4 linked regions of the Struthio camelus genome follow. The protein of the gene in region 1 interacts with the protein of each later gene in a pairwise test. Links are inferred from orthologs where the notes say so. Each region holds a gene or a part of one and is shown in the gene's direction. Other genes may lie near its edges. The genes, in order: TLE5, LMO2, PRKAA2 and CRACR2A.

What was found.
Region 2: the proteins of TLE5 (region 1) and LMO2 interact in binary tests that used the Homo sapiens proteins (3 or more experiments, as listed by UniProt). The two-hybrid records come from large-scale screens. The link is inferred for Struthio camelus from reciprocal best matches to the Homo sapiens genes TLE5 and LMO2.
Region 3: the proteins of TLE5 (region 1) and PRKAA2 interact in binary tests that used the Homo sapiens proteins (3 or more experiments, as listed by UniProt). The two-hybrid records come from large-scale screens. The link is inferred for Struthio camelus from reciprocal best matches to the Homo sapiens genes TLE5 and PRKAA2.
Region 4: the proteins of TLE5 (region 1) and CRACR2A interact in binary tests that used the Homo sapiens proteins (3 or more experiments, as listed by UniProt). The two-hybrid records come from large-scale screens. The link is inferred for Struthio camelus from reciprocal best matches to the Homo sapiens genes TLE5 and CRACR2A.

The regions. Positions count from the first base shown.
Region 1 is NC_090967.1:7,814,050-7,821,148, reverse strand, and holds the start of TLE5 (TLE family member 5), read left to right. Parts: upstream 1-4,081; 5' UTR 4,082-4,183; coding exon 4,184-4,210; intron 4,211-5,804; coding exon 5,805-5,902; intron 5,903-7,099. UniProt on the Homo sapiens protein: Transcriptional corepressor. Acts as a dominant repressor towards other family members. Inhibits NF-kappa-B-regulated gene expression. May be required for the initiation and maintenance of the differentiated state.
Region 2 is NC_090946.1:33,638,155-33,645,953, reverse strand, and holds the start of LMO2 (rhombotin-2), read left to right. Parts: upstream 1-4,785; 5' UTR 4,786-5,027; coding exon 5,028-5,034; intron 5,035-5,136; coding exon 5,137-5,314; intron 5,315-7,799. UniProt on the Homo sapiens protein: Acts with TAL1/SCL to regulate red blood cell development. Also acts with LDB1 to maintain erythroid precursors in an immature state.
Region 3 is NC_090949.1:33,363,463-33,371,268, forward strand, and holds the start of PRKAA2 (5'-AMP-activated protein kinase catalytic subunit alpha-2), read left to right. Parts: upstream 1-4,802; 5' UTR 4,803-4,825; coding exon 4,826-4,919; intron 4,920-6,048; exon of another isoform or gene 6,049-7,806. UniProt on the Homo sapiens protein: Catalytic subunit of AMP-activated protein kinase (AMPK), an energy sensor protein kinase that plays a key role in regulating cellular energy metabolism.
Region 4 is NC_090942.1:87,986,240-87,993,682, reverse strand, and holds the start of CRACR2A (EF-hand calcium-binding domain-containing protein 4B), read left to right. Parts: upstream 1-4,440; 5' UTR 4,441-4,783; intron 4,784-7,443.

The DNA.
Region 1 (7,099 bases):
CGGGATATCATATCTGAATAATTTACAAAGGCTCTTCATTAAACGGATTTATTTTCAGCAGCTTGGTTAGGCTGTTCCCTTCAGGAGCGACGGGGAAGTTGCTCAGCCTGGTTTGGACGTTGTCGCGCAATCGCTCCTGCCGGCCACGCCGGGAACAGCGCAGGGCCCAGGGGGCCCGGCCGGACCCCACTGCTGGCCGAGGGGGGCGGTGTGGGAGGGACCGGCCCCGCAGCCTCCCGGCACTGCCGTCCCCGCAGCAGACAAAAACACCGGGGAGCTGCTGCCGGCTCCCGGAGCGCCCTGGAAAACCTCCGCTCCCGGAGCCCGGGCTGCCGTGGGCTCTGGGAATCCCCCGGCGAGGGCCTGCTTTTGGGCTGCTCGGGGCCAGGCTTTCCCGGGGCCGAGTCCACCCCTGCCGACGTGCGGACCCATCGCTTGGGTGAGATTATAATTCCCCCCTTTGAGATGCAGATTCCTCAGCCTGCTGGTAACGGAGCCTATTAAAATGTCACTTACGAGGCACAAGCAGGTTTGTGTTCCCCTGGATTGAGATTTGCCAAGATTATGCCATAAATTAGCGTGTTTCCTGGAAGAAAGCAAGGAGAGAAAAAACATAAAGTGGAACATTTTGTAGCCAACATAAAAGCCCATAAAGGAACGTTTCATTTTCCTCTTGGAAGGGAGCAACTGCAAGCAGCTCTGAACCCGCCCGGGGTGGACGGGCAGCGGGGCTGCGTGATGGGGACGCAGGGTGGCGGGTCCCGTGGGGACGGCGTGGCTCGGGGGTGCGGGGTGCCCGGTCCCGTCACCCGTCCCCCCCCACGGTCACGGCCCCCGGCCCTTGCCCAGGGCTGGGTCGGAGCCGCTGCCGGGTGCAGGCAGCATCGCAGGGGCAGCGCTGCCATGCTGGAGCAAAGCTTCGCGCTGACGGCCCAGCACCGTGGAAGAGTTCTTCTGCCTCATCTTTTGGGAAGTTTAATCTGCTCTTATAATGATTATTGTTGCTCGTGGAAGTTCGTAAACTGCAGGAGGAGCCTGGTCCCATTTCCATCAAGGACAAACACCTCGCGGCGCTGGCAGCACCATCCCTGGGGAAACATCTGCTCTTTCAGGTTGTTTTGTGGCAGCTTTGCTGCTTTATCTCAGCTGGAAAAAATTCCACTCCTGTTGAAAAAGGAACTGTAAGGTCTGCAGGAGCACTTGCCGCACAGGAAGGAGCAGGGGAGAGGCAAGACGAGGGCTGCGGCTCGCAGCTGGGGGGTGCGTGCGTAGCCCAGGCTGGTCGGGCAGGACAGTGGCCCGGGAGGCCTCACCCTGCCGTGCGTCTCCGCCTGCATCGCTACCAAACCTGCAGCGTCCCGGGGGCGAAAGTGGAGGGAGCAGCCACCTGCGACACGGCACGGCACGGTGCGACACAGCACGGCACGGTGTGACACGGCACGGCACGGTGCGACACGGCACAGCACGGTGTGACACGGCACGGCACGGCACGGTGTGACACGGCACGGCACGGCACGGTGCGACACAGCACGGCACGGTGTGACACGGCACGGCACGGCACGGTGTGACACGGCACGGCACGGTGCGACACGGCACGGCACAGTGTGACACGGCACGGCACGGTGCAACACGGCACGGCACGGCACAGTGCAACGGCACACAGCACGGTGTGGCCCGACACGGCACAGCACCATCCCTCAGCGCCTCCCACGGGCAAACAGTCTGCCAAACGGGAAAAACAGCCCTGCCTCGCAGTGAGGGGCCACCTCCTCCTGCGCGCACGCTCGATGGGTGGCACGGGGTAGCCGACGTCACGGCCCAGGCCTCGGCCCGCCGCGGCGATAGAAGAGGTCTGCTCTTCCGAACTTGCAGCCCACGGGAGCAGCAAGGAGGGCCTGCGCCAAAGGGGGTTTATTAAAGGGAGCAAGTTAGAACAAGATGGGAGCCGCGCCGCCCCGGCTGCCGACGCGCGGTTTGGACCACGGCGCTTGCACGCTGCACGGCCTCTTGGCGCTTAACTTACTCGCCGACGCGGTAGCTATAAAACAGCCGAGGGGAAGCAGGGCTCCGTCGAGGGGCCGCCGCGGCCCCGGCCGAGCCCCCGCGCGGCGCCCCGGCTTCGCAGGGGGCCGGGACCCCCGCTTCGCCGCCCCCGGGCTGCGGAGGCGCCGGGCCCGCCTGCGCCGCTGACAGTCCTCGGCGCGGAGCTGTCACCGCTGCCTCCAGCACGGAGACGGCGAAGGAAAAAAGCCACCGCGCCGCACGCAGGAGGTGTCACAATAACTCGGCTGCTATATTGTTCTCTTTAAAAATAAACACCGCCACAGCCCAGCCCGCGTCGCTGGAGTCATGACGTCCGGGCTTTTATTTTTAATCAGAAAGCGTGCTGATTTTTAAAGCTAGAGGCAGAGCAGCCTCTGAAGGTGGCGAGAGCTCCCCGCGCGCTCCGGCACACGAGCTCCCTCCTGCCCGCGGCCGCCGGTGGGTCCCGGCCCCGGTCCCGGCCCCGGCGCGCCGAGCAGGACGGAGCCGGGGGAACCGCCGGCAGCACCCGCGGCGGCGCCGGCTCGGCCGTGAAGCCTCGGCACGCGGCGAGCTCGGCCGGACCGGAGCCCTCGGAGCGCTCGCGCCGGCGGGCTGCACCCTGGCCGGCCCCGGCAGGAGGCACGGCCGAAAGAAAGCAAAAGGAAAACCCTGCGCAAACAAGCCCTGCTCTCCCACTCGGAGGGCGCGAACGCGGGCCAGGCGCGATGGTGCCGCCCCAGGCCCGCGGCTGGGACCGGCGCGAAGCCGAGGCGGCTGCAGGGCCTCCTCCCTCCGGCGCCCGTTTCCCCGCGCGACCGGGGAGCCGCGAGAACCGGCGCTGCTGCGCGGGCTGGGGCCCTTCCGGCCCAGGCGCTGCAGGAGGCGGGAAGTTTTGGTGCGCAGCAAAAGCTGGCGCTGCCCCGAGCACCCACACCGGCTGGCGGGACCCCAGCCCTGGCGGGACCCCCAGCTCCAGGGGACCCCAGTGCCAGCGGGACCCCCAGCTCCAGGGGACCCCAGTGCCAGTGGGACCCCCACCCCAGCAGGACCCCCAGCCCCAGTGGACCCCCAACTCCAGGGGACCCCAGCCCCAGTGGGACCCCAGCCCTGGAGGAGACCCCAGCCCCAGCGGGACCCCAGCCCCAGCAGGACCCCCAGCCCCAGGGGACCCCCAGCTCCAGGGGACCCCAGTGCCAGTGGGACCCCCACCCCAGCAGGACCCCCACCCCAGCAGGACCCCCAGCCCCAGGGGACCCCCAGCTCCAGGGGACCCCAGCCCCAGTGGGACCCCCACCCCAGCAGGACCCCCAGCCCCAGTGGACCCCCAGCTCCAGGGGACCCCAGCCCCAGCGGGACCCCAGCCCCAGCAGGACCCCCAGCCCCAGTGGACCCCCAGCTCCAGGGGACCCCAGTGCCAGCGGGACCCCCACCCCAGCAGGACCCCCAGCCCCAGCGGGACCCCCAGCCCCAGGGGATCCCAGCCCCGGGGCAGAGCCGGGCACCGCCAGCGGCCTCCGCGGGGCCTGGAGCTCGGGGCCGCCAAGGCCGGCGCCGCTCCCACGTGCCCTGCTCGGGGCTCGGGGCTGCCGGGGCCGGGGCTGAGGCCGGGGCCGGGCAGGGCAGGGCCGGGGCCGGGGCCGGGGCTGAGGCCGGGGCCGGGGCTCGGGGCTGCTGGGGCTCGGGCTGGGGCTTGGGGCTGCCAGGGCCGGGCAGGGCCGGGGCCGGGGCTCGGGGCTGCAGGGGCGGGGGCCGCCGGGGCCGGGGCCGGGGCCGGGGCTCGGGGCTGCTGGGGCCGGCGCGGCGGGGGCGGGCGCGGCGGGGGCGGGGGCGGCTCTGGGCCCGCCCGGCCCGGGGAGGCGGCGGCGGCGGCAGGTGGTGCCGAGCAGCCGCAGGACGGAGCCGGAGCCGGAGCCGGAGCCGGAGCAGCAGCCGCCATTAGACAATAGGCGCCGGCGGCGGGAGCGGCGCGGGCGAGCGGGCGGCCGGGGCGGGGCGGCCGCGGGGGCGGGGCGGCCGGGCCCGGCGCGGACAAAGGCGGCGGCGGCGGCCCAGGCCCAGGGCGCCGCGGCGGCGGCGGCAGCGGGCGGGCGGGCGGCGGCGGCGGCGGCGGCGGCAGCAGCAGCGGGCCGCTCCGTGCGGGGCCGAGCCGCAGCCTGACATGATGTTTCCACAAAGCCGGCACTCGGTACGGCGGGGCCGGGCCCGGCCGGGGGGTCTGGGGGGTCTGGGGGCGGCGCAGGGCCCGTGAAGGACGGCGGGGGGCCGGGGGTGGTGGGGGGGCTGGGGGCCGAGGGGCAGAGCTGTTGTGAGGGGGGGCTGGGGGTCCGGGGGGTGCTGGGGTCCGGGGGGGGCAGAGCTGCTGGGGGGTGCTGGGGTCCGGGGGGGGCAGAGCTGCCGGGGGGTGCTGGGGGTCCGGGGGGTGCTGGGGGTCCGGGGGGTGCTGGGGTCTGGGGGGTGCTGGGGTCCGGGGGGGGCAGAGCTGCTGGGGGGTGCTGGGGGTCCGGGGGTGCTGGGGTCCGGGGGGGGGCAGAGCTGCTGGGGGGTGCTGGGGGTCCGGGGGGTGCTGGGGGTCCGGGGGGTGCTGGGGGTCCGGGGGGGCAGAGCTGTTGTGAGGGGTGCTGGAGGTCCGGGGGGTGCTGGGGTCCGGGGGGTGCTGGGGTCCGGGGGGTGCTGGGGTCCGGGGGGTGCTGGGGGTCCGGGGGGGCAGAGCTGCCGGGGGGTGCTGGAGGTCCGGGGGGTGCTGGGGTCCGGGGGGGGGCAGAGCTGCTGGGGGGTGCTGGGGGTCCGGGGGGGCAGAGCTGCCGGGGGGGGGGGGGGCTGGGGGTCCGAGGGGACGGTGGAGCCCCGAGGGCGGTTCTGGCGAGCCGGGGCGCGGGCCAGGGCGCCCCGGGGGTGACGCGCGCCGTGTCCCAGCGGCTGCCTCTGCGCCTCCATGTTCTGGCGGAGCGGCTGCAGCGCTCCCGGCCCCGGCATCCCGCGCTCGCTCGGGGGCTCTTGCTGCAACGTCTCTCCCCCCCGCGGTGCTGGCAGGAGCCCTCGTTGCCTCCCGATCTGACTGGCTGACTGCCTCCTCGCCGCAGCGAGGAGCGAGCGGGAGGCTTTGCGGGGGGTCTCCTCCCCCTTCCCGAGCCCTGGCCCCCCATCCCTCCGCCAGGGCGTTCCGCACAGTCCTGGCTCCCGTTCGCGCGTGGGGTGTTTGTTGTTTGCAGAGATGCCCTGGTTACTGTCTCTGTGCAGTTGTTAAGGAAGGCGGCGGGTGGCTTTGTGGTTAGAGCCCTGGGACTTGTTCCCAGCTGAGGGAGAGGACAGCTTGGGGGGATGAGATGCGAGCAAGAGATGTGGGTCCCAGCCCCAGGAGGAGCTTCCTCCCGCTTCCGTTTCCCTGTCTGTAGTGCAAGGTGACTGTGGAGATAAAACCTGGAAAAGGGACCCTGGCCAAACTTCTGCGTCCGAGTTCCCACAGGTGACCTTGGGCATGTCCCCCTGGCCTGACCATGCTGTTTCCCCAGGAGGGCCCTTGGGGGTGTCACCTCCTTCTCTGTCTCCTCGTGGCAGCTTCCGTCCTGCTTTTAAAATGATCTGTGCTCCTGGTTAGATGTACCGCTGAAAAAGCAAATCTGTGCTTTAGTGTCTGTGGGATGCGTGGTGGGATCAGGCCAGCACAGGCACCTCTAGGTAGCTGAGAAGGAAACTGTGCTCGTGGGAAGGAGCATGTGTTGGCTTCCCTTCCCACCCCTGCATTTGCTCAGTGCCCAGCGCTCTTTCATGTGTTGTTCAAGGGCTCCTCTCACCTGCCACAACAGCTGAAGTTCACAACCTCTGACTCCTGCGACCGGATCAAAGATGAGTTCCAGCTCCTGCAGGCCCAGTATCACAGGTGGGTGCTCCTGTGTGTCACAGGTCCCAGTGTCCTCCACACTTTTGTCTTGGGACAGGGAACTCTGAGCATTGCTCTCCATAGAGCTAAGAACCATTAGAAGCGCCCACGGGTGCCTGTACCCTGGGTAGTGCCGTCCTGGGCGCTGGTTGGTGGGATATACCCTGCAGGAACTTGATGACCTGTGTCAGGTCATCAAGGACCCCCCTCCCCTCACCTTCTGGGGGGACTTTCTCCACAAGAGAGGAGGAGCTTGCTGCGCCCATCCTGGGCTCCCCAGGGACAACTGCACTGAGTGCTCAGCAGATTTACTGCTGGGCTGACAAGCAGTGGCAAGACGTAGAAGAATCACTTTGATTCTTCTGCTCCATTGCCTTGCAGTGTGGACCGAACTGGAACACTAAGGGAGGGACTTGATCGTACAGCTCGGGTCATGTTTGTCTAAAATGGGACCTCAGGGAAGGGATTAATCATGTCCGCTTAGGAGCCTAGAGAGGAGAATGTTCAATCTTCCCTCTCCAGCCAAGGACTTCCCTCTGTGTGTTGCTCAGCCAGGACTGCACAGAGGCTTGCCAGGCCTCCCATGTCTTGCTGGGAGTTTCTCCTCGGTTCTTCTCGCTGGCTGCCATTCTTGGATTACAAATGCTGCAGGGAGCACTTAAATCCAAATGCTTCCGCTTTTGTGCATGTGAGAGTGGAAATACTTCTGCTGACCTGAAAGTTGGCTTGTGATGGTTTGTTGCTTTTTGTGTGTGTGTTTATTTAAGAAACACAAAACTCTGAGCTTAAATCAACTCAGTGATGCCCTCTGTCATGGTCTAGCAGGCCTCTAGACCTGGTTGTAGCATGTGCCTCTGTGGCCACGGTGCTATGGCAGTTTGTGTAGCCCTGCTGTGCCTTTATGTACCTTTCACCTTGGCCTGGGCTCTGCCAGACAACTGGGTCATAGGTTTGTAGTCATGTCATTCTGGCAGAAGGCAATCAGAGTAACAGCTTAGAAATGGCTATTTCCTGGATTCCCTCCGCCTCTGAGCAGTGCCAGTGATGGAACAGGAAGCCTCAAGAAATATGTCCACTGGAAGGGAGGCTTTCCCCCCCGCCACCGCACTTGGACGTAATCTGCTAGAAGAGAAACAGGTTTTGTGTAGGTGAAGCTGTTTCTTGTTTGAAACATAAAACCACAGCGCATGCAGGCTG
Region 2 (7,799 bases), on another chromosome or scaffold:
AGTCTGAACTTCACAATCCTAGGGCAAACCTCACCCTAAGTGTGGTTTTTATTGTTCTGGTTTGTTTCTTTCCAGTTCAAAGGAAAGGTTAACCCCAAAAAAGAGAAGTGCATCCTTAGTCAGGAGTCTTTAAGTCCTCTAAATCATGCCTTACTGAGAGCCTCCAGAGACATTAAGGTTAGTGCCTATGGTCTTCACTCCAGGAAAACTCCCTGTCCTTGCTATCACCACTTCTATCCCCAGGAAAGTTAAAAAGAATGCTAGCAGGGAGCTCCTAGTACAACTAGGAAAAAGATGTAGTCTTGCATATGAAAAAGCAGCGCTCGTGGAGAGAACACATGTAACATAACTTCTTGCCTAAAAAAGAGTTTTCCATGCCCATGAAAAAGCAAAAAATGTATTTTTATTGTATTATGTGTTGCCTTTCACTTCTGCAATGCACTGCTGCTGCAACATGGCAGCAATATGATTTGCTATTGATCCAGCATTGATTCTCCAGTCAAATGTCCTCAGCAGTAGCTGACTGATATTTCTCCTCAAGTATTCTGTATTCTTTAATAGGGACCAGACATGAACAAACATAATTGCTTCAGAGCCTCCCAACTTGTTTTAGAGTATCAAAATGGTGTTCAAAAAACCCAAAGAAAAAACAACTTTACATTTCTTTGGAACGTCAACCAAAGACCTCATTATGCCAAAGCTTCAGCTCAGCTTGTGGTGAGAAGGAGGAAGAATTCTTCCATTTTGCAAATAGGTAAACTGAGGAATCAAATGGAGCAGTGACTTTTTGAACATCATATGGTAGATCAAAGTGGCAAAACAGAGCCAAGATTACAGAGGTCATTATCTCTCTTTCGTCCCCACCTCTCATATTAATCATTAGACTCTAGCCATGGTCTTGACTTTTCTACCCCATAGCAAGTACTAACAGAAAATCTAGACCACAGTCATTGAGATTTAATTCTTGTGTCTGTGCAGAGACTTAAATCTTCATCAGCTGCATTTTAGGCAACAAACATTACTGACTATTGAGGGCAGCAAAGTTAATCTTACTATTCTCAGACTTCTCCAAATGCGAGTGAGCTGAAATAGTTCAATAGTTCAATACCGACATCCATCAGCTCTAGGGGAAATAAAGCTAGGATATACTAAAGATGAAATAAGGGCAGGAACAACCGGAGACTGAGCACAAGAGGGAATCCTGGGACCTCAAATGAGCAGAGTTCCAAAACAAAGGTGAAAACATTCAGCAGTTTCAAGAGGGGATGTTTCTTTGGAAAGAGGCACATTTAGTTATTTGTTTCAATGACATCACTCCTAGAAACAATGCAGGTTTACATAAAATAGTCTTACTGAGAAATATACAGAAAAGTCTAGTCAAATTATTCACAACATTTTATTGCAAGCACTGAAAGCTAAATGCAAACAATAACACTGGATTTGATATTAGTAATGCTCCAAGAATTTGCCTATAGTATGATCTACATTCATAAAAGTTAATTGAAATCAACATTCATCCCTCAGTCTGTCAATGAATATAAAAAGCTGCACTAAATAGAACTGGAAAACACAGCCTCGCAGAGAAAGGGACAATGGAAAGAAAATCCCCCACTAAAAATAGTACTAGTCTTTTTGTCCCTATGCAGGAAATGTAGGCACCACAAATACTAAAACTGAATAATGTTTTGTCTTTATGAGCCTAATTCTGCGGGAGGCAAAAGTAAATCAACCACAGATTCTGTTGAGGGAAGTAAACATTTACAGATGGGAAAATTGAGGCACAGAGGTACTAAGGGACTCTCCCAAGTTGAAAAAAAGAAGCCACTCTTGATTACTGGTCACCTGTTCTGGTGGAACACAAGACTCCTCTGGTGAAGATGCCAAGTTTCACTGCCCAGAGCGAGGGTCTATTATATATAAACCTAATAAAAGAAAATTTGAATTGTCCCAGAAAATAATACATTTTCCTTCCCCAAAAGATGTTGGAAAAAACAGTTCCTAGGTTAGAATGCAGAGAACCTTCTTGGTGGGCTTTCTACTGTTAGTGCACTTGGAGCTGCCAATAAATACCACCACAGAAAGTTTGAAGAAAAGGTGCTTACAGAAATTCCATTCAGGCGAAAAACCAACAACAGTTTGGTACATACCCATCAGTAGAGGACACTGCTTCCTGGCAGTTTCTGTTTATCTTCTGCCACACTGATGCTTGCAAAGCAAGCTTTTGGTTTAGTTTGAAATTCCACCTGATGCATGGAGCCAAGTGTTACCTTGCGTCTTTGCTGTGCAGTTTGTTCAAGGTACCATGACAACTTTACAGCTCATGCAGTATTTCCTGATTACTGTTTGTTTAAGCAGATTGAGTTCAAGCACTCTCCCAATAAGCACAGTGGAGCAACACATTTATTATGTTATGTACCAGCAAATTGACTACTTTTTCACTTTTCCTAGTTCTTCTCACACTACTTTGCCTAGCATCTCTCCTTTATAGGAAAGAAAGAAAACAACGAATAATCTTGGGGTCATCACTACACATCTTTTCAGACAAGCAGAGAAGTGGTATCTCTCGGAAGCATGCAGAGATATCAGCACTATCAAAAGTAGTATCCACCTGAAGAACTGACTTTCCTTAGGAAGTTTGTTCTGGATCTGAAAGCCTCAGCCAAGCTCTGCACCTGACTGAAAGGATGACAAAATATGAGCAAATAGTGCTCTTCAGCTCCTTTATTTACACACTATTCCATTGTTTTAGGTAGAAAAGCTTCCTTCAGTTAAGGGATTGATCTTGCAAGGCATGAAGCATTCTTGCCCTGTCCAGCAAAGCACGTAAACATGCACTCAACTTTGAGTATATGAAATATCTCATTAGCTTCAGTGAGGTTATCTGCCAGACCTCAGTGAGCCTGATCAAATCGAGGAATATAGGTGTTGCAAAAGATTGAAAAATTACATATTCCAGTAATCACTGGCCACTTTATCTTTTACCTCCTTGGTTTTAGGTTGTTTTTCTAAGGAAGAAAGTAATTCCTTATGTGTCAATGTCTACGTGTCTATCCCTCACCAAAACTTTTGAACCAGTTGGTCTCTTTTAGATAGACAGAGTGACAGAAGTCTTAAAGATATTAATTTCCTGCAAATTTGAGGAAAATAAGTAGAAGGGAGAGACTGCAATTAGCCTGCCAATGTGACTCGGAGTTTATACCTTATTAGACCTTAAGACACAGCCAGGAGACACCAAGCTCACAGAACTGTCTTTCTTTTTTAAGTGTTTGAAGTCTTTATACAAGTTTTTGGTCCCCCATTAAATTCAATTTCTGATCTCTTTAAACCTTCTTAATAAAGTTCCCCGTGGTTAAATATTTCTAACAAAGAAGCTTTTTCCTTTAACAAAAACATTTGGTTATAAGTGTGACTGCCATACTGTAATAGCTTAAAATACAGTGGCGATAACTTTTTTAAAATATAAGAATCTCCTTTATCTTTTTTATATATCTTTTTATTGACCTTCTTTATCTTTTCTGTTTTATTTATCTTTTTTTTAAAGAATAAGAAATCTTTCTTAAAGGATACAAATTCTTTTTTGAAGAATAAGTGTTCTAATGACCAGTGATGGCTCTGAAGAATTGTGAGAGCTTGGTTAAAAGCCCCCTGAAATGAGTAACAGTTCTGCTGACATCACTAGTCTTTGAATCAGGCTCATTAATGTATTTCAGATATTATATCCCTAGCTGCCAAAAAAAGCTGAAAAAATGAGAATCTAGTCATAAAAACAGACATCAAATATATTTCCGATCTGGGAATTAATATAGAAGGTAAGTATTTCTACTGCTATTCACTAGTGCTTTATTACAGATCTTTCTTACTGTATCTAAAAGAATTAACAGGGCAGGCAATTCATCTCATCCAGTATTTTGCCGCCAGCTATGGCCAGTATCTAATGCCACAGAGAATGGAAAAAAGCTATAATTGCTGTAATAGTGTTCACTCTAGCACTGTAAATCAGTCCTTTCCGGGATGTGCTGTGCTGACGGAGAGGAGGGGGGAGGAAGGCTAGGAGGGGAAATAGAGATGTTCAAGCAAGACTTTCCCATCTTTAGCTTCTCTGTGATTAATTACAGATCAATACTTTGTACTCTCGAGCTTTTACAGCTCATTACCATCAAACAGCATCAAGATATAAATTTGTTATATGACTTACCAAGAACTAGGTGGGGACACCTAGGAGTAGACACCCATAAATGTTCACTATAGAGTAAGAAATGAGACAGGTACAGTTTAGCTGGCCCATTTGAATCCTAGGTAGAAAATAATACTTAGCTTCTTACCTAGTGTCTTTATGCATAGATCTCAAATACTGTACAAAAGCATGAGTGCGTGTGGGTATGTGCATAGGTAAGAGAAGGAGAGGAAGAGAAGAGAGACCACGACGCTAGTGCTTTGGTAATGTGTGGAGCTAAGAGGCCAATAAAGATGGAGCCAGACATTTGAATTTTTTAAGCCCTTCGGATCATTTTCAGGTTACACGACTATCCGGGCACCCCCGGTTTACTGATAAAGTATTCCTAAATTAGAGCGTACTGTGAAAATGCAAAGTCAGCTCCCAGCCCTAGCTCTGGGGAGACGAGCTCTGTCTCTTTAAGAAACCGACTGAGTCGTGATGCTGCTGTTTGTATTGCTAAATCCCCCGGAGTCCAGTTAAGAAATGGGCAGCTGTCTCTTTAAGTGCGATTTCCTTCTATTGTATTTGAATCGTGATCAGGAAAAAGGAAATGAAACCAGAGACTCGGGGCTGAGCTAGAGTAATAATAATGATGCTGGTCTCCACGTTCGCAGCCGATGCGCCCCTCTCCCGAGCACGTTCAGAGCTGCCCAGGCAGCGAGCCTGAGCGGAGCGCAGCGCAGCGCAGCGCAGCGGAGGGAGCCGCGGGGTAGGCAGCAGCGGCGGCCGCGGCAGGCGGCGGCCGCCGGCGGGGCCAGCCGCAGCGGCGGGAGCTGCCCGCCGCCCAGCGCGCCGCAGGAGCGGGGCAAGCATGGGAGGTTAGATCCTAAGGGTCAGCCTGGCGGAGACGCAGCCCGCAGCACGGCGGCCGCGGCGGCAGCAGCCCCAGCCCATATTTCTTTCTCTCTTTGGTGTTGCAGGAGGAAATCCTGTGAATGTCATTGGGGGGCGGAGGGGGAACTCAGCTGGTGAAAAGGCTTCAAGAGCAGACAGCCTTTGCGGGGGCAGCGGGGGCAGATCCCACCACAGGCACACTACAAAGGAGCCATCCCTGCCAATGTCATCGGCCATCGAGAGGAAAAGCCTCGATCCTTCCGAGTAAGTGGCTTCTTTTCTTTCAGCCTCCCCAGCCCTTCCCGTGCCTTTTGATCCTCCCCAGCGCTGAGGCGCGCTCGGCAGGGACTTTACGAGCTCCCTCACCACCGTCATTGTGTGTGTCAGCCCCGGCGAGCTGCTTGGGGCGTCCCTTCCCGGCGGCGGGCAAGGGGGCTCGGAAGCACAGCAGCCCGCCGCTCTTTGCCCCGGCTTGCAGGCGCCCCGCGGGAGGGAAGCCGCGCCGCGCCGGCCGCCAGCCGCGGGCGGCAGCCCCGCCTAACAGCCCCGGGCGGCAGCCGGCGCCGCAGCCCCCGGTGGCAGCTCCAGCCCGGGCCCGGGGCGGGCGGCGGCGGCCGGGCTGCCCGAGCCGCCGGCGCCTCCGCGGGCTGCGGGTGCGGCCGGCGGCCCCGGCCCCACGTTGAGTTGATCGGAGCCCCCAAGTTCTGGGAAATACCCGCTGGGAGCAACCTCCGGGCGCAATCCCGCACGGGGCAGGGCATTTTCCGCCCGGTCTCGGGATGCAGGGCTGCGGGGAACGACTGGGGGAGACGGAGGGCATAATGCTTTCCAGAGCTTAACTTGTCTTCATTTTGAGCCTCGCTCTCTGCCCCATGTTTGATCTGTCCAACTCGCTGTAGCTGATTACAGCGAAAGGTCGGAGCTGTTATCTGATGGGTGCCCAACTTCCACATTTTCATGATGCGAGGCACTTTGCAACTTTCAAGAGCTTGTACGAACTGCTTTGGTGGGGGCAGGGTGTTCTGCAAAGGCACTGGCCATGTACAAAGACTTGATTGACGGGAAGGATGCAGAAGATGAGAATTTTCCTCCCTATTTTTCACATTCATGGCAGGGACTGACTCCCACATTATGACCCTCTTTTTCAATCTGTGTTCAGCAGCCGTCCCATCCCTTCCGAATCCAAGCACATGCAGTCACCATACTTGCAAGAGGCACGTTCACTCAGAGTACCACCACGTCACTTCAGCGCTGTACATTTGAATAACTGCAGTTACAGATGTCTAGCATCATGATAAGAGAGAAGAAAAACATTGTAAAATCCCCATTTTCAGATAAGGCTTAAAACATTACTCTTAGTGAACTTTAGTCATTTCCGATTTGTTTCACTTGGGCCCTTCCCTTGAAGCCACAAGTGAACACATGAAGTGTTTCTTATGTGGATTAAATCAGTTCATGCCATGTCACATTTGATGTTTTGCATTTGTTACATTTTTTATTTCATATTGTTTTTAAGAAATGATCATCCTAACTTCCCAGGTATATGGCATCCAGGTTTGAACTACAAAAGTTTTAGCCGTATTTATTTATTTACCTACTTTGTGTTCTATTGACTAAGTACTGGCTTTACAATGTATGAACATCAAAATGCTAATGCTTAAAACAGAAATTCTGTTCCGCGTAAACATCCGTCAGGCTGTTCCGGACTTTAGGGCATTCAGAGACTGGCTAGTGATTCCTGAACCATCTATAAGATTAAAGATTTTGGGGTACATCTGAAGCTTCAAATAAAGGATAATAATGTCTATTCCTTTACAGTTGCATGTTCTATTGGAAGGCTCTCAGAGCTTGTCCGTGGGTAGCCCACACATTAGGAAGGGAAGCATGTGGAATAAACTTTGAAAAAGTGGGGCCTGATCACTTACCATGATTCTAAGAGCAGACAGCCTACAATTTTAATGCAAACGCACGGTACAGAGAGCTAGAAGGGTGGGATATTATAAGAAAACTTTTAGGGCACAGCAGTTTAAACTTTGGAGAGTGAAAAACAGAATGGGATATAATCAGATAATATCTTAGAGCTCAGCTTGTCTAAATAGAAACTGCAGGATCAGTTTCTCAGCATGGAAGTTTTCAACTGCTGGTCATTTCTGCATGCTGAAGAAAGTAATTTTTGCCTAGAAAACTGCTGACCCAGTAAATAAGCTTTGACAACAGTCTACATAAACCCACTTGAAGCAGTAGTAAAATAATTTTTCCTATGGCCTGCTGGAAACTCGGTGTAGCCTGATTCTTTTCTGTTGGTGTAGTTGCACTCTGCCCTCACCAGCCTGAAGGAGGACAGAACAGCGACAGAAACAAAGCATTGACAGACAGTGTGCGACAGCAAGAACTGAACAATGTCTTAAACAATTTGGGGCTACATCTGCCAGTCATTGAGCTCCTTGGTCAAGATCCAGCAAAGCAGACAAGCATAAATGTACAAACAAGTGACTTCCTTGTCACTAGCCACAGGTTTAAAATTAAGCAAGTGCTTAAAGGATTGATCCAATAGTCTTTTTATTAACTTCCCTGGGGTTTGGATGAGGCCCTCAGTGGCAGTGTCAGGTCATTGCAAACCTTGCAGAACTGAGCTCAGATGCTTTCCTTTAATTTTTGCTGATCTTTTTTGGCAGAAGCTATAACATTACACGAAGAGGCAAGGAAGAGAGCTCCTTAAGAAAGTTGATTTGAAGAAAATTACTGCTTT
Region 3 (7,806 bases), on another chromosome or scaffold:
CACTGCTAAATGAGTGCAGAGGTTCCAGGTACCAAACTGAAACCCTTCGAAAAGTGGGGTATCTGCTCCAGGCGCTTGTGTAGGAGCCCTTCTGCCGGCTCCGCACCAGGGACAGGAGCCAGCACTGCTGCAAGCAGCACCCAGCTCCGTCTGGGCACAGACCCAAGTCCTCAGCATCCTGCTCCTTGGCCCTGCGTCACCTAGAAAGTCCCTTGCCCACTGCCTGGAGGGCGTTTGGTGCCCGAGAACAGCACCAGCAAAACTCGAGCGCACGCCAGAACGGAGCGAGCCTCCGCCAGAGCTGCTGGCACTCCCACGGTTCCCATCCGCCGAAGGGAGAGCGCATCTGCGAGCACCCCACATCCTAAAGGTGCGGTCTAATTGCTCCCCAGTGCAGGAGAGTTTCCCTCTCCTGCTGCGTTGGGACTTGCCCAGAAGCTCAGCTCCGGCAGGACCGAGAAATCACACCCCTACTCAGCATCACGAAACGAGGGCAGAGAGCAAGCCCTGCACAGGAGGCATTTCACATGCGTGAGGCTTTGTAGCTCTGTCCCAAACACACTGAGACATACATATATCCCGCTGCTTCAGCAAGGGATTTGTCCAAGAGTGGAGGGAAAAAAATAATTATAAAATAAATAAATAAAAGCCCAAGGGATTGCAAAGAAATTGCAGCTCAGATACACTCTTTAACTGGGATGCTCCTAGGAGGCATGGTTACATTAGCATTTAATTAACAGCACCCAGCTTGCATTTGATTTCTATTTTAAACAAGCTGCAACACCACCAGGCACGGACGGATCATTCACCGAGATGAAGGCAAGCAAGGGGAAGAGATTTCTATCCTGCTTCGCAGTCAAATGACATTTCATTTGATCTACACCAAAAATAAAAATGCTGCTTCGCCAGACACTGGAGTCTGCATCTCCTAGCAACACTTCTCCCACCTCACACGTTTTACTCGAGACCCTTCATCTCGTGCCTGTTGCCGTGCTGCTAGCAACACACCTCCCTTCCCCACTGGGGCACGAGATATATCTACATATGTATCTATACAGTCGCACACACAAATACAACCTTAAACACACAAAATATAGCCTTTAAATTAAAAAAAAATTGATTGCACAATCTTAATTCAACATTTCTATTAAACAACTTCTGTGTGCATAATGGATTACTGAGTAACAAGGTAAAGAAGTAGCTGGTGCGTACCAAGGAAGCTCCTCGCTGCTGGGCTTTGACCAGGTTGTATCAGCCTGGTTACTCAGGCTATACTCTAGTATAGAGTGTGTTTTCCAGCAGTGTAAAAAATGCTAAGGAAGGGTTAAGGTATATATATGAGCGTGTTTCGCAGACAAATGACACTGCAGATGTGGGGACTGCGCTGTATTAACTGCACACAGCGTACGGCTGCATTAACTGGTAGGTGGGGAATGGGTTGCAGAAATGCTCATGATGCACCATGAGGCACGTCCGTGGGGTGATTTAGTCACCAGCTTTTAGGCAATGAGCAAGGGGTAACATAGCACATTTACATACAGCAGCTCCGTTCAAATATAAAAGGAGGTCAAGAAATACCATGTGAGACCTCACCTATTTGTTGCGGTGCTCCACTAGGGCAAAGCCAGGGCTTGCCAAGGCTGGAAGCAAACAGATCGGACAAGCCGCACGGACTCCTGTGCGCAAAGACAGGAAAGAGCTGCTGGAGGCTTTTGCAAGGTGCAGACTTGCACAGACCCATACTTACCCAGGTGCCTAAAGACGACAGCATTTTCATAGGCTTTGCAGGAGACAGTAAGCTTTAGACAAGAAAACACTAATGTTATTTTTAAGTGCTGTTTCTCTTATGCTTTATTGTAGGTCTATCACTCTGATTAAACAGATGTGGTTTCATTACAGTACATATGGTTTTGTATTATATCAGCTTTCTTGTTTCTACTCTGCCACTGTTATTTGTATTATTGGATCTGTTGAATTAAATCATCTTCTGATTATTTACCATGGTATAGCTGCATAGGCTCGTCATTATTTTATCAGGTATCTTTTGTTTATACAGCTTCCCATTCTGACTTCCCAAATATCTCCTCGCTGTTTCACAGTGTGGATTGCCTTCGCGCCTGCCTTCTGCTATTTCTTGTGACTGAATGAGAAAGTTTAATATTGAAGAAATCGGAATTAGCACTATTAAAACAATACTACTCTCCAAATAGGTTTAAAAGACTAGTGTTCAAACATGCTGCGTGGTTAGGATGAGCATGCATGTTTTTCAACACGATCTGTTTGTGCGGCCCAGGCAAAGTTCATATGCCCTGTTTAGAAGATTATGGAGAATGTCCAGATTTGCTTAATCAACTTTCTGGACTTTCATCTGAAAATGTCAAGCAGACGATTGCTTGGAGGAGAAACAGGTTTGAGCTCCTACACAAACAGTTAAACCCCTCACCCAGCACAGCTCCCTGGTGCTGGTGCTTCAGGTTGAGCCCTGCAACCTTACACCCTCTGAGCAGGGGAACGGCTCCAATTTGCTCCGGCCCGGAGATCCAGAGCCCCTGCTCGGCCTTTGCCGATGGCCTGCCTGCCCCAGCACCAGGGATGTGACACCAGCTGTGGCCTCATGCCAGCCCCTTATGCCGAAAGCTCCTGTGCCGGCTGCTTGCCAAGCTCTGGTGCTGCGGAGCATGGCGAGAGTTTTCTTTTCTGGGTTGCAGTTGTCTTGATGAGTGAAAAGGAGGAAACGTTCATTAGAGAGGAGAGTTGGGATCACTAAGCGGGTGTTCGCTTCACATATTTTTTTTCCAGACTACATTTCTAACAAGGTAGAAATTCTAGAGAGAAAAGGTAGCCTGCCTAGAGCAGCTGTGTTATTATTTAATGTATAGCATTACCCTATCTGACTGCAGGCTGTCGCAGGGCTGAACGATAAAGAATGGATAACGCTGGTATTAGGACGAGCTGTTAGCTCACGGGAACATTTGTTACGTCTGCCCCGAGCAACTCGCAGCATGTGTCTACAGTAAGGTTTAAGTGCAAGGTTGGAACGAGGCTCCCGGTCGGCCTCACTTACTGCACGTGGGTCCACAATACGGCGTGGGTTTGGAGTTCCCCAGCCAGAGTCCTCCCCCAGAAGCCTGAGTGAGAAACACGGGGCAGTCCCGAAGGGGCATGCGGGCGCCAAGCCCGGCTACAGCCACTTGGAGTAGAGCCCCCGACCAGCCCCTCACACCAACCACTTCCCTTGGAGACCTGCCCCTGCCGGAGTGCCTGGGAAGAGGGAGGTGAGGGGAAGGAGAAAACCAGAATGGGCTTCCCAGTCAAGATGAGGAGAAGAAGGGCTCCAGGAAGGACCTGGGGGTGGTCAGAAGGTAATTTCAGAGTGGGGAAGAATGCAAAGATGCAACTAATGAGAAACAGCTGACATGAACAGAACATAACGGCGGAGGAGAAGAAAAGCAAAAAGGGAGACAGAGAAGGTGGTGACCCAAAGGCCAGCTTTGGTGTCCGTGTAGGGGAGCTGCGAAGAGGGAAGCGCTGTGAGCAGGTATAGATGGTTTCAGCTGGCCGCACCAGCTATCAATGTATCGATGTGTCCTTCCCCTTGAACCTGTTTTGCTCCTTTATGTTAATATAGTTTTGACCAACAAGAAAGCTCCTGTGTCTGCTTTGCCAAGCGAGTACCACTTATTGACCACCACCACGCAATGCAACGCCTGACAGCTGCCCGGGGTGGTAGTGCTACCACCAACCCAAACGCAGCCGGTCCCAGCCACGCTCGTGTGAACACACTCACGTGTGCTCAAGCTCCGCTGCTTGCAGACAGGTGAAAGGCAGCATGGAGACATCCACAGGTCCATCGTCCTGCCTCAATGCGGCAGGGTCCCGAGACCTGGCACCACCACTGCTCTGCACTCAGCACCACGCTGCCATCCAACTGCTCCAACGCTGAATTTTGCCAGCCTGCCCAGTCCTGCCACCACGTGTCCAGTGTCCCTCATCCCATCACCATCCCCATTATTGCGCTGTGACCAGCCCTGTCCACCCTCCCACCTCATCTCCCGCCAGAACTGGGGCTGGGCCCCACAGGGCAGGAGCTGCACCATGCCCCCACCCCACGACATCCCTCCTAGGTGGGCAGGCTCTCCAGCCCTAAGGCCCCATCCCGAACCCTGGGCAGGTGCACCCCAAGGAGCATGTCACCCTCAGGGGTGTGTCACTCCCAGGAGGGTGTCACCCCAGGCAGATGCACCCCAAGGAGCATGTCACCCTCAGGGGTGTGTCACTCCCAGGAGGGTGTCACCCCAGGCAGATACACCCCAAGGAGCATGTCACCCTCAGGGGTGTGTCACTCCCAGGAGGGTGCCACCCCAGGCAGATACACCCCAAGCTCGCTACCATCCCCAGCTGGGTGTGCCTTTAGGAGGGATCGTCCCAAGCAGGGTGCACCAGAAGGAGGACACAGCCCTAGGAGAGCATCACCCTGGCTGTCACTCCCAGGAGGGTGTCACCCTGGGCAGGTGCACCCCAAGCTGGCCGCCACCCAGAGCCAGGTGTGCCCTAAGGAGGGACCATCCCACGGAGAGCGCACGGTACGGAGGGCATCCCCCCCACCCCTCCGGGAGGAGAGCATCACCCCCAAGGCAGGTGTCACTCCCGGAAGGGTGTCACCCCCGGTAGATGTCACCCCCCACGGCAGGTGCCCCCCGAGGAGGCCGCCGCCGCCCCCCACCGTGGCCTCGCGGCGCCCCGCTGCGCCCGCCCCGCCGCCGCCGCCGCGCCGCACCGCGCCCGGCCGGCCCTGTGCATTGTGGTCCGGCCGCGGGGGGCGAACATGGCCGAGAAGCAGAAGCACGACGGGCGGGTGAAGATCGGCCACTACGTGCTGGGCGACACCCTGGGGGTCGGCACCTTCGGCAAAGTCAAGAGCTGAGTACCGCGGCCGCGGTGGGCAGGGCGGGCGGCGCGGCGCGGGGAGGGGGGGGGAGCGCTGGCTCCGCGCCCCCTCCGCGGCTCCCCCCCCCCCGCCCTCTTTCCCCGCTCCCCTCCCCGGGGGCCGCTCCGCGCACGCACCCGCGGGCCCGGCTCCTCCGCCGCCGCCTGCCGGCGCGGTGCGCGGCCCCGCTCCGCGCCTCGGCGCGGCCTGCGCGCGCGGCTCTCCGGGGCGGCGGGCGCAGCGCGGAGCGCGCTCGGCGGCCGCGGCCCGGCCCGGCCCGGCCCGTCCCGCGGGGCGCGCAGCATCCCGCGGGGCACGGAGCATCCCGCGGGGCGCGCAGCCCCTCGGCCGCGGGGGCTCGTGGCACGCGCCGAGCGCAGGACGCTTCTGCCGGGGCAGACGGGGTGCGGGGCTCGCGGGCGGCACCCGCGCTCTCCCTCGAGCGGCCGGACGGTCCCTGCGAGCTGCTGCCCTCCTCGTCCCCCCGAGCGCCTGCCTCACACCCCTGCAAACTTTCCTTCTTCGCGGCAGGGTGATGGACGCAAAGGATGAGCGGCAGCGCGCGCCTCGGGCAGGAGCCCGCGCGTCCCCATCCCTCTGGGGCCGCTCTGCTGGTTTTGGGAAAGGGGGGACAAGCGCTTCGCAGCCGGGCGGGTGGCAGGAACCGGGAGCAGAAGGGGTTTCTTCTGCTGTCGCGGTACCTCTCGCCCTGGGAAGCCAACAGCCTTGCTGGGAGCGCGGGAAGCCACTCTCACGGGGCAGGGGGAGACAAGGCCTGAGGCAGGAGCGGTGGAGAACTTGGGTCAGGCTTCATTCACACACAGGGTTTCCCGCGTGGTTCACGCCAGCAAGGAGACAACTCTCATTTTCACGTAAAGCACCAGCTTTACTTTACCTGACTGGAAGATTTGCAAAGATTTGTATTTCTTTTTCTATTTAATTCTGTTGCATGCAACTGTTACCTTTGAACCAAGTTAAAAAAATCAAAGATACTGTACAAAACTTGCATCTAAGCAAAACAAAGAGCTGTGACTGATGATTTAGGTACGGCTGGCAGAGCAGCTACCACCCTCCGCTGTGCACCCTGCCCTGCTGCTGGAGTTACCGGCGGCATCCTGTGGCTGGTCAAACGGGTGATGTGCACACGCTCAGGGACTGCGGCATTAAAATAAACCAAAACTGACAGCAGGGGAGAGGAGCCACCTCCACCACTGGAGCTAAATCCACCCGTGACCATTAATCAGACCCCTAAAAATATATTACTCTGTTTCATCTAAACCCACAAATCCACTGCCTAAAGAATTATCAGAATAAATACTTCTAACAGTGAGGACCATGTAAATCACTCATGTGTACGAGCAGAGCTCCAAAAGTGCTCCAAAGGCAATTTTTTCCCCCTACAGAACAAGTTAAGCCTGCCAACAGTAGCCTTTTCTCTTAGCTACCTTTCTCAACTAGCTAGCATGAACACCACGCACACGCTGTATATAGCCCGATTTTTGTAAAACCTGACAGTTTCCAAAGAGACATTTAAAATAAAGGAGATTTCCTAACTCAAAATCAGTTATGGTTAAGTGGTACCCTATACACATATATATTCTTTTCCTCAGCATGTTGCCTGTAACATCAGTCTGCGTTTGACAGACGAAATTTGGACTTGAGACTGGAAACTTAGATGAAGAAACTAGATCTGCTGTTTATATGGCATTATAGCATCTTAATCAAAACAGCATTAGAATACCCTGAATTCATCCTGTTTAGCAGGAAACGTGAAACAAAACAAAGAGATTCTGCCTGTTGGATTTTTTAACTATGGAGGGAGATGCCATCAGTTACTTTTTTTTTTTTTTTGCTGCTGTTTTTTCTTCAAACTCTGGCTCGCACTAGACTTTGTGAGAAGCAGGGTTTCCTGCCTCACCCTCCAAAGTTAAGAAATCATAAATTAGATTACAGTCATTAAGGAAAAAGAAAATGGCATTAGAAGCAGGGAGGAAGGGGGTTGTGAAATTGCTGTACTAACCACAGCTTGAATTTGTGGCTGTAGCTGAGTAGTCACTTGAAGCCATCAGAAACCAGAGCTGCTACAGAAAAAGTCATTGCGACCCTCTTGCAGGGGGAGACCACGCAAGTGCTGGCGCTGGCACATGCAAGGCGAGGAGAGCAAAGCACCTGGTAGATGAGAGCAGGATTTTGGAGATTAACTTGCAGGAAATAAAATTCAGGTGGCTGTAAGGGAATTCTCTTGGCTTTTACATTGAGTGAAGCATGGAAGGAAGAGGGTGGTACCTCACTCGTTAGCATGGTGAGATTAAGAACGGATGAGATAAATTGCTCCTGTGTTTTCCTTAGGCATATCCCACCCCATTGCTCTCCCTGCGACCACAGAGGTTGCACGATGGAGTTCATGGTGGTTGCTGCTTTGAGAGTTTCAATCAAAATACAGCTGAGTAATGCAAATATTTTTTCATGTGGTATCACGCATGAAGTCCTGGGTGGCCACTTGGTGGTTTCTGTCCCCACGCTTGCTGGTCACCAAGGTGATCAATTTTGTGGTCCCTCAAGGGCCTATATTTCTTTGGTGATATGTGTGCGTTGGTTATTATTTTGGTACCTTTGGGCTTGAGCAGGGTCAGATCCCCTTTTCCAAGGCACTATATAATTGCTACTGACGGACAACCAGGGATAATAAATTTAAAGAGACCAAACAGATGAAGGGAAGGATGATATAAGGTTTAAGCAAATGGCAGTGGGACAGAATTAATACAGCTTTGCTAAATATATGCTTTCCCTTGATTTCATGTTTAACTTAGGGCTACGATAAGGGCTGGAATAGGCAGCTGATTGATAGGAAAAAAGTTCTCGCCCTGCGCCCTCAAACT
Region 4 (7,443 bases), on another chromosome or scaffold:
TCCCTCAGCACTCATGGGTGTATTCCATTGGGGCCCATGGATTTATGGATGTCAAGTTTAGACAAAAGATCTCTAACCTGATCCTCCTCCACCAAGGGAGAGTCTTCCTTTCTCCAGACTTTGTCTCATCTCCAGGATCTGGAATTCCTGAGGACTGGCCTTAGCAGTAAATACCAAAGCAAAGAAGGCATTCAGTATCTCTGCTTTCTCTGTGTCCTTTGTTATTAGGGCACCCACCCCATTCAGCAGCAGGCCAACATTTTCCCTAGTCTTCCTTTTGCTATTGATGTATTTGAAGAAGCCCTTCTTGTTGTCCTCTCGACATCCCTTGCCAGGCTTAATTCCAAATGGGCCTTAGCCTTCCTTGTCGCAGCCCTGCACACTCTGACAACGTCCCTGTATTCCTCCCAAGTGGCCTGTCCCCTTTGCCACATTCTGTACACTTCCTTCTTCTGCTGGAGTTTTGCCAGGAGCTCCTTGCTCAGCCATGCAGGTCTCCTGCCCGCTTTGCTCGACTTCTTCCTCAGAGGGATGCACCCATCTTGAGCCTGGAGGAGGGTGATGCTTGAATATTAACCAGCTCTCCTGGACCCCTCTTCCTTCTAGGGCCCTACCCCACGAGATTCCCCTAAGTAGGTCCCTCAAGAGGCCAAAGTTAGCGCTCCTGAAGTCCAGCGTTGCAATCCTACTCATTGCCTTGCTCCCTCCTCGCAGGATCCTGAACTCCACCATCTCACGGTCACCGCAGCCAAGGCTGCCCCCAACCTTCACCTCTCCAACTAGACCTTCTTTGTTTGTTAGTACAAGGGCTAGCGTTGCACCCCTCCTCGTTGGCGTCTCCACCACCCGGGTCAAGAAGTTATCCTGAATGCTCTGCAGGAACCTCTTTGACTGCTTGTGCCTAGCTGTGCTGTCTTCCCAGCAGATGTCAGGGTCGTTGAAGTCTCCCATGAGAACTTAGGGCCTGCAATCGTGAGGCTACTTCCAGCTGTCGGAAGAAGGCCTCATTGACAACTTTCTCCTGGTCAGGTGGCCTGTAGTAAACCCCCACCACTGTGTCACCCATGTTAGCCTGCCTTTTAAGCCTTACCCATAGGCTCTCAACTTGCTCTCCATCCACCCCGAGGCAGAGCTCCACACATTCCAGTTGCTCCCTCACATAAAGAGCAACTCCACCACCTCGCCTTCCTGGCCTGTCTTGCCTAAAAAGCACGTAGCCATCCAGGACAGCATCCCAGTCCCGTGAACTATCCCACCATGTCTCTGTAACTGCAACGAGATCATGGCCCTGTGACCGCACACAGATCTCTAGCTCTTCCTGCTTATTCCCCATGCTGCGCGCATTGGTGTACAGGCATTTCAGAGAATTAATCAAGCACGCAAGCTTCCCAGGAGAGGTGCAAGAGGAGCCTCCATAGCCATGTTCCAGGCCGCCTCCCCTGGCTGTATGCACCCGCTGGAGGCATCCTGACTCAAGCGGTGTTTTACCGACTCCCCTGCCACTATACCACTCCCCTTCCCCCATCTTGCCTAGTTTAAAGCCCTCCTTACCAGGCTGGCCAACCTGTTGGCAAAGACGCGTGTGCCCCGCTTGGTAAGCTGGATCCCATCGCTCCCCATCAGCTGTTGATCTTCAAACAGGGTCCCATGGTCATAGAAACCAAAACCCTGCTGGCAACACCACAGGCGCAGCCAGTTGTTGACTTGGAAAATCCATCTACTCCTCCTCCCATCCTTCCCCCTCACAGGCAAGATTGAGGAGAAAATGACCTGGGCTCCCAGACCCTTCACCACCATTCCCAGAGCTCTGAAATCCTGTCTGATGGCTTCCAGTTTGCCCTTGGTGTCATTAGTGTCCACATGGAAGATCAGCAGAGGGTAGTAGTCTGATGCATGGACAAGCCTTGGCAGTCTTTCCATGACAGCTCTTGTTCGAGCCCCTGGCAGGCAGCAAACCTCTCTGGACAAGAGGTCAGGTCGACAGATAGGTGCCTCTGTCCCCTGCAGCAGGCAGTCTCCCACAGCAATCACTCGCCGCTTCTTCCGGGGGTTCCTGCACGACACAGGGTCTGCCAGGCCCGTTGCCTCCCTCAGAGCCATGCCCAGCTCCTCCTCAGCGTGGGGGGGGGGGGGGGGGGCGCTAAACTTGTTCTTCAAGGATAACTCTTGAGGAGGAGCAAGAGCCTTTCCCCTTCTACGAGAGGTCACCAGCTTCCAGCCCTCCTCAACAGCGTTATGATGTACCGATGACTCCTGGAGCTGCACAGTCTCCGAGAATACCCTGTCAATCTCTTGCTCATCTTCTCAGATGCTACACAGCCTACTGACTTCCTCCCATAACTCCTTTACCTGGCAGTACAACTGATCAACCACAGTACACCTCGCGCACGAGAGCTGGCTGTCAGCTCAGGCCTTATAGAAAGACCCTAGGTACTCCCTGCAGCCTGACACCTGTCAGAGGGTCTGTCTGGGTTGAAGCCTCAGACACGGGTGATGTAGCAACTCCAACAGCCACTGGGGAATGTGCTCTGCGGCGTCATGACCATACTTGAGGAAGCACACACTACTACAAGAAATGAAGGTGCCTTCTTTGCCTTCTGACATCCTCTGCGCAAACTGCTGCCTCTGTTGGCTGCACTCCAGGAGCTGCACTTTAGGCCTGGCTCTTATATAGGCCTCTGCCTAGCAGTGACTCACAAGGGTGCTTGACCCACCCAATCAGGAGCCACCTGAAACAAAAGCCCCAACTCCCTCTGACCAGGGCAGCCCAGAGAGCTCGTTAGCAGCAGCCACACCTACCTAGAGCTTCCCAGGAGAAGTTAAGGCCCCCTGCAGGAGTCCTTGCCTAGCTCTCCCTTCCTGCTAGCAGCAAGCACCGTCTAGTTCCTCGGGAGTCCCCAGAAAGTCTCCACAACTTCCAGCAAGGCCCACAAAAGGCCCAGGCAGAGCCCAGACACTGCTGCGCAAACTGCTGCGTCTGTTCGCTGCCTCTGTTAGCTGCGCTCAAAGAACCTCAAAAAATTCCTTGACACTCGTGCCTGTTCCTCTCCACGGAAATTTTTAGTAAAAGGTGAAAGATTTACACGATCTGAAGAGAAAACAGAATATGGTTGAAACATGTTGATTCATGCGTCTGCTGGTTTTCTTTTTTAGTTTGGTCAATAACTTGTCCATTATGGTGTTTTACAGGTTAGTAGTTAACCATATCCATCATCTTCCACTCCTTTTGCACTGTACTGATTTAGCCAACAGTTCAATATTTTCATATTTAAATTCCTTTGGAACACTTGGGTGTTTGTGATATGTTACAATTCGTTGTATTATGTTCTAAAGCCTCCCCTACCAATGCTTCAGTCCCAAGACTGTTCTTCATACTTAATAAAGAAAAGGACGTTATCTGATCTTCCATACTGAACATCAATTTATCTAGCTTTTCCGGCTTTGGCCATAACTTTGCCTTATTTCTATCATCTACTTGCCCCACAGATTCTGTCAGCAGGCTTGTGCTTCTGGTTTGTTTGATAATGTTTTTGCTGTTAACTGGAGTGTTCCTAAGCTACTCTCCAAAATCTTAATTGTCCTTATGATTTTACTTGCTGATTTATGCTTCCCCCCCCCCCCCCATTTTTCTTATTTTTAAACAACTGCTTTCTGAAGAGCTTTTTACTTCTGATAGCTTTCTTTATACTGCTATGTAATCATGTATAATTTTGGGAGGCAGATGGTTTTGGAGGCAGGCTGTTTCATAGCCCTTTATGGCTGAGCAGATGTTATATATATAATGATTAAATGTATTATATTATGTTATATACTTATAAACATCTTTATGCCACCTGCTATTGTACTGCTATTTCGGCTGTCCCTTTTAATTTCCTTCTAAGTATTTCTTGGTTCATGAAGATGCTCATTTTGAAGTCAAACACAAATGGGTGAATTGCTGTAGCAAATATGCTGAATTGGAATGTATCATGACGACAATACCTTAAGAGCTCTTCTGCAGATGTGACATCTGCAGTGATGAGAACTAAATCAAGTTTTTTTCTCTTCTTTTAGGGGGCTTCTCAGAGAATCTGCTCCCAGATGCAGACATTTACACACCCTAGTGTGACATTTTTCAAAATGTACTTTAGGCTACTTGAAATCTCTAATCAACTGGATGTGAAATCAATTCTGTCTTTTGTTGTTCTTCCTCATGGGCAACTGGACTTGGGACAGTTTGAGAAGCTGGCCCATTTCCATCAGCTGCATCGTAAGATCTTGCGTGGATGAGCTGTCCCACACTCCTCGAAACCCCTCTGTTTTGTGTAATTTATGTTACATGGAGATGACAAGACCACATACTTCCCCCAGAAAGCCATTGTGCACTTAGTCCTGGCTGCAGGTGCAGCCAGGGATGGCAGCGCCTGGTGGAGTTCCCCCGGCTCTCCAATGTGACCCAGCAGTGGTTCCGGGTCGGCCCTTCCGAGCCGGAGGTGAGAGGGGCCCTGCGCTGCGGCAGCCCGCAGGGGCGCTTGGCGCCACGCGACACCGAGCTCCAATGCTGCTCAGCGCTGCCAGGCAGATGGGGGAGGCCGGCTCACCCCGGTCCCGCCCCCGCAGCACGGCCCGCCCGTGGTTGATGGTGCCACCCGCGCCCCAGAAAAGTTTAGGAAGTTGTTTTGACCTTCCTCTGCTCTTACTTCCACACTAGCTGAGGCGCATGCAGGGGAAGGCCGACCACACCGGCCAGCCAGCAGGGATCGTATTGTACCTCTGCCTGGGCACTTGCAGGGAGCAGCAGGAGGTGAGTTGGGGCCAGGAATGTCCGGGGAGGAGACAGGAGGAGAAGATGGTGCAAAGCCAGATCCTTCTGGCAGAGCTGCTGGCAGATCCTTCTAGCTGAGCTGCTGGCGGAAACGCACCCCTGGCATCTGCTTTGCCCTTCCCTTCGGATTCAGGGTGTCTCAATAACACCCTGCTCTTTCTCTGTGCTGTGCCTGTTGTGAGTTTTGCTTCCTGCGCAGGGCTGTCTGCGAGAGGACAACGCCTTGCAGGCTTGGTGGGTCCAGGCAGGAATCAGCAGCATCTCACAAATGATAGCAGTTATCACTGCCTTTCCTGTGCCAAAGTGCCAAGCAACATCTCTGCCCCTTCTCCTGGGAGTGGTGGCTGCTTTTACAGCATGGGTGGGAGGTGTGTGGCAGGAGGTAGCCTAGAAAAGCTGGGAGAGGAGGCCAAGTACCCCCAGCTGCTCACTCAGCAAGCAGCTGCTGCTCTGGCTGCAGTGCAGCTGTAGTGAGGCAGCAATTCTTCAGCTGCTGTGAGTGTTGCACACAGCACCTGTAGCCCTTGACCCTTCTTGTTAATCCTAAACTTACTCTTTGGCTGGAAGGCACCAGGTTAGAGTCACAGTGTTGCAAAACAGGAGACTGCATTTCCCAGTATGCCCTGCTTCCCTTCTCTGCATAGTAGTTATACCAACACTGTGGCAAAACAGGGTAAGAAACTTACATTCAGAAAGTTATCAAAGTATGCTAAAATGTGAAATGTTGTGGTTCCTTCTACATAAAGAACATTATTAAGGTGGTACCCAAGAGCGCTGTAACTGATATTCATTGTAGTGCTACTGCTACAGTCCTCATGTAGCTTTACACTGTGGCCAAATGAACAGTGTTACAGTGAAATCAGTTCTGTCCTGGTTACTTTTAGAGCTGTCTAGCTGGTTTCCAGTGTACACTTCCTGCATTGTGGATGGTGACTGCCTTCATGGTGGGGGACAGACCCACCAAACGCTCACTGAAGCCAAAAGCAATGCTGTTGCTGATAGTTACAAAGATGACGCTTGTATTCTCTTAGAGTAATTTGCCACCAGTCAAACTAAATTTGATTTAGTTTTCTGTCTTTTTTGATACTGAACATTTTTGATGATTCTAAATGATAGTTATAAAGGAACTTTTTGTTGCCAAGATACTATTATGCTTCTTAATATATGTGAGCAGTATAACAGATTTTGACCACAAATAATGAAACTTGGGTACTGCTGCAGTTGGGGAATGGTCTAATCCCTCTGAAATTCAGCATTTTAATCTTTAGCAATTCTTTCTTCCAAAGTTACACACTCTGACTAATTTAAAATACTTTTCTACTTTCTTTTTGCAACTTGGTGTTTTTCAACCACAGTTTCCAGGTTAGTTTCACTTTTCCTTTTAGCTGGGTTGTATGAATTATTCTGGTGTATTGGTAAAAGTTTATCAGTTGTCTGTGGGATGTCCTAAGCACTCAGATATCTGGTCCGCAGACTTCTCTTGGAACTTCAGTGTTGTTCAACTTGAGAAGATAACCATTACACCCCAAAGAGTGAAAATTAAATGTCAGTCTTCTCTGCACTAAATACAACTTACTAACACAAAACACAGTTTACTAACATGAAAAAAAAAAAGAGTCAGTATTTCAAGTACAAGGACCAGATGCATTTCTGGCCACTGATTAAGTAGCAAAAGAAATTTAGGGCAGTAATAGTTAACAGTCTCCTAATGTGGAGGATTAGTCTCCTGATCTATGGAGATTTAAATTCATTGCAGATGAAATGAAGGAGATGATATACTTCGTTCTGTTTGAGACAGTTCTCCTCCCCCTTTTCCTCCTATGTTGTGGTGAGCTGGAAAAGAGCTGTAAAGAAAGAAGCAGAAGTTAATGCACTAGACAGCATTACTATGCAAGCTTTTCGTGTGGTTTCCTCAGCCCACAGGATTTATATGGTGCTTATTGCAGATCTCTCACTCCATCCTCCTGTTTTTGTTCACTGACAAATGGTATGTTCTCATGATTTTGCAGATGACTAAATGGTGGCCATTTGGAGGGGTAAAGAATATGGTACTCTGCCCAGATTCCCCTCTACGTTCTTTGCTAATTTGCAGAATAAATATGTAAGACTGTATAAATCGACATATAAGGAGGGAGTTAGGGTTTTTCAGATTTTTTTTTTCTTATTAAAAAGGCAGATTTAATCAGTTTAAGTTAAACCTGAAGTAACAGCATAATAGATTCCACCATTCATGACTCATCCATGCAGAAACAGCAGCACACCTGCGTGGAGAAACTGACTGAAACTCAGTTAAAGACTTTGGAGCTCTCTCCAGACATAGATCTGTCCAGATCAGGCCTAGAGTTTCCAGTCTACACAGCAAATGTTTTACATCAGACCATCAGTCTGGTGATCCATTGCCAATAGCGTATCCTCTCAGAGAGACCTGCTGAAAGTAATTTTTTTTCCCCAGTTTTTCTAAAGTCAAGCAAAGGAACTAGGCAAAAATGTCAAACAGTGACAAAATCGTAATTTCCCTGTTGGCTTTTTCATTGTGCCATACAAGGCACAGTGAGAGACAGGCACACTGAGAACCAGGTTACGCTCACTTGGAGCTTTGGGGCTGAAGTGAGTTGGATACATGTACCAGCTCAGATTAT